2 linked regions of the Xenopus tropicalis genome follow. The protein of the gene in region 1 purifies or fractionates together with the protein of each later gene. This does not show direct contact. Links are inferred from orthologs where the notes say so. Each region holds a gene or a part of one and is shown in the gene's direction. Other genes may lie near its edges.

Region 1 (3,678 bases):
ACTTCCTGTTTGAGGATTGGCCACGCCCCTGGGCCGGTACTGTAGGGCCCCACCTTCTCCTGTATTTATATATCCCCATTCCTCCCCTAGAGAAAGTGTGAGCGATACTGGCCCCTGGATGATGCCACCACGCCGGCCCAGTTTGGCCCATTCACCATCAGCAAGGTAAGTCCCATTAACTCCTTATCAGCCGGGACCCACAATCCTCTGCTGACCCCATTCCTTCCTTTCAGCTGGAGAAGAACAGAGTCAATGCCGAGGTCATCTACCGAAAACTCAGGGTCACCTTCAGGGAGGTAAGTGGGGCTACAGCGCTTAGTTGGCCACTAGAGGGGGCTACAGCGCTTAGTTGGCCACTAGAGGGGGCTACAGCGCTTAGTTGGCCACTAGAGGGGGCTACAGCGCTTAGTTGGCCACTAGAGGGGGCTACAGCGCTTAGTTGGCCACTAGAGGGGGCTACAGCGCTTAGTTGGCCACTAGAGGGGGCTACAGCGCTTAGTTGGCCACTAGAGGGGGCTACAGCGCTTCGTTGGCCACTAGAACGGGCTACAGCGCTTAGTTGGCCACTAGAGGGGGCTACAGCGGTTAGTTGGCCACTAGAGGGGGCTACAGCGGTTAGTTGGCCACTAGAGGGGGCTACAGCGCTTAGTTGGCCACTAGAGGGGGCTACAGCGGTTAGTTGGCCACTAGAGGGGGCTACAGCGGTTAGTTGGCCACTAGGGGGGGCTATAGCGGTTAGTTGGTCACTAGAGGGGGCTACAGCGGTTAGTTGGCCACTAGAGGGGGCTACAGCGGTTAGTTGGCCACTAGAGGGGGCTACAGCGGTTAGTTGGCCACTAGAGGGGGCTACGGCGGTTAGTTGGCCACTAGAGGGGGCTACGGCGGTTAGTTGGCCACTAGAGGGGGCTACAGCGGTTAGTTGGCCACTAGAGGGGGCTACGGCAGTTAGTTGGCCACTAGAGGGGGCTACAGCGGTTAGTTGGCCACTAGAGGGGGCTACAGCGCTTAGTTGGCCACTAGAGGGGGCTACAGCGGTTAGTTGGCCACTAGAGGGGGCTACAGCGGTTAGTTGGCCACTAGAGGGGGCTACGGCAGTTAGTTGGACACTTTGGTTCTTTGGTGCAGGAGTCGCGGGACATCAGCCACTTTCAGTACGTGGCGTGGCCGGACCGTGGGATCCCCGACTCCTACTCCTGTTTCCTGGAGATGATCCAGCTTGTGCCCCAGTACCAGCGAGAGAGCCGCGTGCCCCTGTGTGTGCATTGCAGGTGCGGCTCAACAGCTTGCAATCTATTCCTGTATCCTGTACTGTACTCATTGCTCTTTCCTTCATCCTCTTACCCCGACACCCCCTAATGCCCCCCCATTGCCCATACAGCTTGCAATCTATTCCTGTATCCTGTACTGTACTCATTGCTCTTTCCAACATCCTCTTACCCTGCCCCCCCTAATGCCCCCCCATTGCCCATACAGCTTGCAATCTATTCCTGTATCCTGTACTGTACTCATTGCTCTTTCCTTCATCCTCTTACCCCGACACCCCCTAATGCCCCCCCATTGCCCATACAGCTTGCAATCTATTCCTGTATCCTGTACTGTACTCATTGCTCTTTCCTTCATCCTCTTACCCCGACACCCCCTAATGCCCCCCCATTGCCCATACAGCTTGCAATCTATTCCTGTATCCTGTACTGTACTCATTGCTCCCCCCATTGCCCATACAGCTTGCAATCTATTCCTGTATCCTGTACTGTACTCATTGCTCTTTCCTTCATCCTCTTACCCCGACACCCCCTAATGCCCCCCCATTGCCCATACAGCTTGCAATCTATTCCTGTATCCTGTACTGTACTCATTGCTCTTTCCTTCATCCTCTTACCCCGACACCCCCTAATGCCCCCCCATTACCCCAGAGTCACACTGGGTTCTGCTCTTTGTGCAGTGCGGGCTGCGGCAGAACTGGGGTAATCTGTATGGTGGAGTATATCCAGAGCCTCCTGCAGCGGCAGGTAAGTGCCCCCCCCTGCGGGGCTAATATGCACCCCCCCAGCTTTGCCCCCCACCTCTCTGCATCTCCCCGCTCTTATGTTGCAGAGGGTCCCGGCTGATTTCAGTATATTCAATGCCGTGCTGCAAATGAGGCGCCAGAGACCCTCTGCGGTCCAGACCCAGGTAGGTACTTGGTACCGATACACCCACCTCATACGTGGCTCCGCCCCCTTCCCTACCTGCCATGGAGGTACCTCCTCTACCTTCACTCTGCCCTGCCCCCCCTGCTATCCATATCACCATGGTGACTGTGCCCCCCGCCCCACAGGAGCAGTATGAGTTTCTGTACCACGCAGTCACAGAGATGTTCGACAAGGAGCTGCAGACCAGCCGTTGCTATGAGAATCTGAAGGAGGTGAGTGCAGGGAATAGGACAGCTGGGCGCCTATGGCCTCGTACACACTGCTGCACAAAATCACATGACTCCCAAGTTGCAGCTACAGGAGCAGTCTGTGCCAATGGGGGAGATATTTAAAGACACGGCAGTCTCCATAGTAACGTGGGGGATGTGCCTCAGTGAGTAGCTGTGGGCACAGAGGGTTAAAGACACATTGGTTTCATCTCCTAAAAACAGGAAGGGGTGGAGACTTCCTGATTGGCTGAAATTAGTGCAGTGATCAGCAGTCTGTGATCTACTCTGAGCCACTGTCTGTCCCTACAGGATAAATCTCCTCTGTACGACGATGCCACATCAGTACTGAGCGCCCTCCGGCAACTGCCCCCCCAGAGGAAGAAGCCCCCGGCACGGTGAGTGCGAGAAAGCTATCTGCTAGAGTGGAGAGAGCGCTCTCAGGAAGGAGTCAGTGCAGAGAGAGCGCTCTCAGGAAGGTGTCAGTGCAGAGAGAGCGCTCTCAGGAAGGTGTCAGTGCAGAGAGAGAGCTCTCAGGAAGGAGTCAGTGCAGAGAGAGCGCTCTCAGGAAGGAGTCAGTGCAGAGAGAGCGCTCTCAGGAAGGAGTCAGTGCAGAGAGAGAGCTCTCAGGAAGGTGTCAGTGCAGAGAGAGCGCTCTCAGGAAGGAGTCAGTGCAGAGAGAGCGCTCTCAGGAAGGTGTCAGTGCAGAGAGAGAGCTCTCAGGAAGGTGTCAGTGCAGAGAGAGCGCTCTCAGGAAGGTGTCAGTGCAGAGAGAGCGCTCTCAGGAAGGAGTCAGTGCAGAGAGAGCGCTCTCAGGAAGGTGTCAGTGCAGAGAGAGAGCTCTCAGGAAGGTGTCAGTGCAGAGAGAGCGCTCTCAGGAAGGTGTCAGTGCAGAGAGAGCGCTCTCAGGAAGGAGTCAGTGCAGAGAGAGAGCTCTCAGGAAGGTGTCAGTGCAGAGAGAGCGCTCTCAGGAAGGAGTCAGTGCAGAGAGAGCGCTCTCAGGAAGTAGTCAGTGCAGAGAGAGCGCTCTCAGGAAGGTGTCAGTGCAGAGAGAGCGCTCTCAGGAAGGAGTCAGTGCAGAGAGAGCGCTCTCAGGAAGGTGTCAGTGCAGAGAGAGCGCTCTCAGGAAGGTGTCAGTGCAGAGAGAGCGCTCTCAGGAAGGAGTCAGTGCAGAGAGAGAGCTCTCAGGAAGGTGTCAGTGCAGAGAGAGCGCTCTCAGGAAGGTGTCAGTGCAGAGAGAGCACTCTCAGGAAGGAGTCAGTGCAGAGAGAGCGCTCTCA
Region 2 (3,816 bases), on another chromosome or scaffold:
CTCGGGGGCTTATAATATTATTATATGTTACAATAGGGGTACTTTATTCAATACATATTATAAGGAACTCCTCTGTGACTTATAATATCCCTATATTTTACAATAGGGGGTACTTTATTCACTATATATATACTGGGTTTGCTTGCAAGGACCCCCTGCAGGAACAAAGATACAGAAGAGGGACCCTCTGACAATGCAGGAAGGATGGAGCCCCCATTTAATATTAGATATTAATTATTAGGGGTGTCCAATTTCAGACCCTCCAGCTACAACTCTTAGAGCAGCCCCCCTGCATTTTCCAGAATTAGGGTTGAGGGGTGACCCAAAGCGTTTAGCCAATCCCTGTGTCAATCAAGGGGAGGCCTGTGTGGATTTGCTTATCTGAAAAACCAGGCAGGCAGTTTTGACCTAGACAGCCCTTTTGAAAACCAGGCTGTCTGGGCCAAAACAAGAATCTACAGATTGCCAGTCTGGCCTGTCTATGTTAAAATTATTTCTCCATCCGGAGACATGCAGCTGTTAGTTCCCCTTTATAAATGAAACACAAGAGCCCGCGGAGGAACCCAGGCATCTCTGGTCTGGCCGGGCAAGAATAGAACCCATGTATACTCCAATAGCCCCTGTTATTATATTGCTTGCCTCTTATCTGCTGATTATTTACCTTCCGCTTATTGATTTGGGTGCTTTTGTTGCTTTAATATCTCTTAATGATATCATTTTTATTCATATATCATTCATTAATGAATTATTTTAGAATAAAGGAGAAATGGCAGATAAAATGAACATTTGCTTTGTGGCTGTAGTGCCCTGTGACATTTGCATTTACACCTCCAGTAAAGGGGAAGCAAACAGGGATGGATTTGAATGAGAGGCTGATACAGTATATGCATAGGAAAGGGACTGAATAGAAAGATAAGGAATAAAAAGTAATAATAACAATAAACTGGTAACCTTGCAAAACAGTCGTTTTTTGGCTGCCGGGGTCAGTGACCCCCATTTGAAAGCTGCAAAGAGTTAGTAGAAGACATAGTTGAAAATCGATAACAAATAAATAACGAAGACCAATTGAAAAGTTGCTTAGAATTGGCCATTCTATAACATACTTAATGTTTACATAAAGGTGAACAACCTGTCGTGCAGCATGAATGGCAGAATTGACGTTTTATCTCAAGTAGAGGCAGGAGTCAGAACCAGCAGTGCAGAAAGGGACAGATACTGTTTTCAATTGAAGTTGCATTGACAAATAACATTAAAAACATTTTTATTAAATGTTTAATTGAAAGGTGCCACTAGCACTGTGGGGCTGGGGGTGCAAATACATCGGGGGCCCCTGGGAGAAATGCAGGGATGCTGGTTTGCACTGTTGCACTAATGGCTTTGGTGTGGTGGGAGGGGGCCCAATCAACCCGGGGAGGCCCTGATTGGCTAAGCTTTTGCAATTTCCTCTTTATCTGAATTAATATTTCCCCATCTTGTAAAAATTTTCAAGTGTTTCATATATTTCTAGGGCCAGCATAGAGGAGAAGTATGGGAAGGAACTGGTTAACCTGACCAAGAAGAAGCCATGTGGACAGACGGAAATAAAGTAAGTGCCCCGTTGCCCTTGCATCTGTCTGTGTCTGACTCTGCGCTGTCCATTCTCGTGGTGAGATCACAATCAGGCCAGGGCCGGAAGCAGGAAACATTGCTACTCACACTGCTGGAACCCTGTAAATATCGAAATATGTTTTTTTTTTAAAGAGGAACTCCAGACAAACACTGCTTTTTGCACAATAAAAATGCCTCTTTCCCATATACATTAATATAACAATTCTATGGTTTTGAATGTGAACAGCGTCTGTCTGGCTGTTTGTATTCTCTGCACTGCTGGTTCTGACTCCTGAAACAATGTGACAGAGATGTGACGGTGATGAACAGACCTGTAGGAGAACTAACTCCTGCTATATTGTTTCAAGAGTCGGACCCAGAGAATACAACAGTGACAGACAGATATGCCTTCCCATAGCAATTACATTGAACTCGGTGAGAATGTGCAATAAATGCTTAGAATTACAATTTTCTGCCCTTGCACATATTTTAATGCACAATAAAATGCCCATCATGGGAGAGGGCGGTCTTGAGTTTTCAAGTCCATCGTGGGTTGCGACTGATCCAAATGCAGTACTGTTGCTCAATCCTGTCTGACCTACTCGCTGGCTGGGGGTTAACTAAGGAATGTTGCGACATCCCTCTAGTTCAGCTCAACGCAGACATTACTATGTCAAGATATTATTCAGTGACATCATAAGCGCTGTGTATTTAAGCTCCTCCCCTTTAAAGGGGACTTTGACACTGGACATCAAGAGAAAAAGTAGCAATAATATATTTATAGTGACTTTGGTTGTAATTTATTAATGCAAGTCTAATGGTCTCTTCTGTGTCTTCCCCCCCAGCACCCTCAAGCGATCCCTTGATGTCTTTAAACAACGTAAGTACCCCATTAGCAAGCTTCATGCCTACGGGGAGATATGGAATTACGCTCATATATTGGCTTCCTGGGAATTAATTCCCCTTTGCCTCATATCAAATATGTCTGGATATTACTCATTGGTCAGAACTAAACATTGAAAAATGTGGGTTGTTTGAAGCCCCCACATGGGCAATTGTTGGCCTTATAAGCCCCCAGGTTAATAGATCTGTGCTTATCTGCAAGTCGCCAGTCACAGCGAGAGGGAGGGGTTTAATTGCAAATGCTCCCGGCTGGCAGAAAGGCGGCAAATGGTAGTCAAGCGAGTGTACATGGCAGTCATAAATCCCCTGAATCTTTATTTCGTCATCGGCCTCTGTCCCTTGCTCCTCGCCACAAGCAGAAGGAAGAGCGCAGGAAGCTGAAGCAGCAAAAGCTGAAAATAAAGTGAAAATAGGGGAACTTATAGGCCCAGACACTTCTAACTGGACAGGAAAGAACCCTACTGGCTGTCACGCTTACTACGAGAGGGGACGGTCTCATTAAAGGAAAACTATACCTCCAAATAACCTACTAAAGAATCTCCCCAAACTGGAATATATATATCAGTAAATATTGCCCTTTTACATCCTTTCCCTTGAGCCGCCATTTAGTGACGAGCCTTATACCCCGGGGTATAAGGTAAGCGATTACAATCACTGTGGGTGCATAACATTTTCCCCACCTCAGTGACTGTACCTTTCCTTCTCCTTTAACTATAACTTATTGGGGTAGGAATGTGCATTTTTGTTATTTTTTGTTATTATTTATATAACTTTTCATCTGCGTTGACCCTGTTTTATCTCATTTAAACCCCTGGCTGGTTGCTAGGGTGCATGACCTGTAGGAATCCGATACTGTAGCTGGAGAGGAGGAGATAAATAAAAGCCAATCAGTATGTGTCAATGGGCCAACCAGTGCCAGCCTGTGGGAGCCAATACTAGGTGATGGTGTAATAAAGGGTAGAGTGTTTTCACCTAGTAACCTACAGTAACCAATCAGATGCTTGCTTTCAAACTGAAAGAGATCTGAAGAGTTCTACTGTATATACCATCTACAATATCCTCTTTACAGGGTCTTTCTTTACTCAAATATTTTTTTGTACAATTACCTTCGGTCAGCTAATGTTACTGGGAAATACCTGATCATTTCATGTCATTTGTTTCTGTAGAAATTGATAATATAGGTCAGTGTCACATTCAGCTGGCACAAACGCTACGGGACGAGGCGAGAAAGATGGAGGAATTCAGGGAACGGCAAAAGCAGGAGAGAAAGAAGGTAGAGTGAGAGCAAGCAGCTTTAATGTTTAGGAATGGATAGAATGTTATTTT

Evidence for each region.
Region 2: the proteins of ptpn18 (region 1) and pstpip2 purify together in Homo sapiens (affinity purification with mass spectrometry; 4 studies listed by BioGRID and IntAct, with this or other methods). This does not show direct contact. The link is inferred for Xenopus tropicalis from reciprocal best matches to the Homo sapiens genes PTPN18 and PSTPIP2.

The regions. Positions count from the first base shown.
Region 1 is NC_030684.2:707,039-710,716, forward strand, and holds part of ptpn18 (tyrosine-protein phosphatase non-receptor type 18), read left to right. Parts: intron 1-90; coding exon 91-165; intron 166-233; coding exon 234-296; intron 297-1,125; coding exon 1,126-1,268; intron 1,269-1,942; coding exon 1,943-2,009; intron 2,010-2,094; coding exon 2,095-2,172; intron 2,173-2,317; coding exon 2,318-2,404; intron 2,405-2,710; coding exon 2,711-2,796; intron 2,797-3,678. UniProt on the Homo sapiens protein: Differentially dephosphorylate autophosphorylated tyrosine kinases which are known to be overexpressed in tumor tissues.
Region 2 is NC_030677.2:206,691,275-206,695,090, reverse strand, and holds part of pstpip2 (proline-serine-threonine phosphatase-interacting protein 2), read left to right. Parts: intron 1-1,507; coding exon 1,508-1,585; intron 1,586-2,432; coding exon 2,433-2,467; intron 2,468-3,656; coding exon 3,657-3,763; intron 3,764-3,816. UniProt on the Homo sapiens protein: Binds to F-actin. May be involved in regulation of the actin cytoskeleton.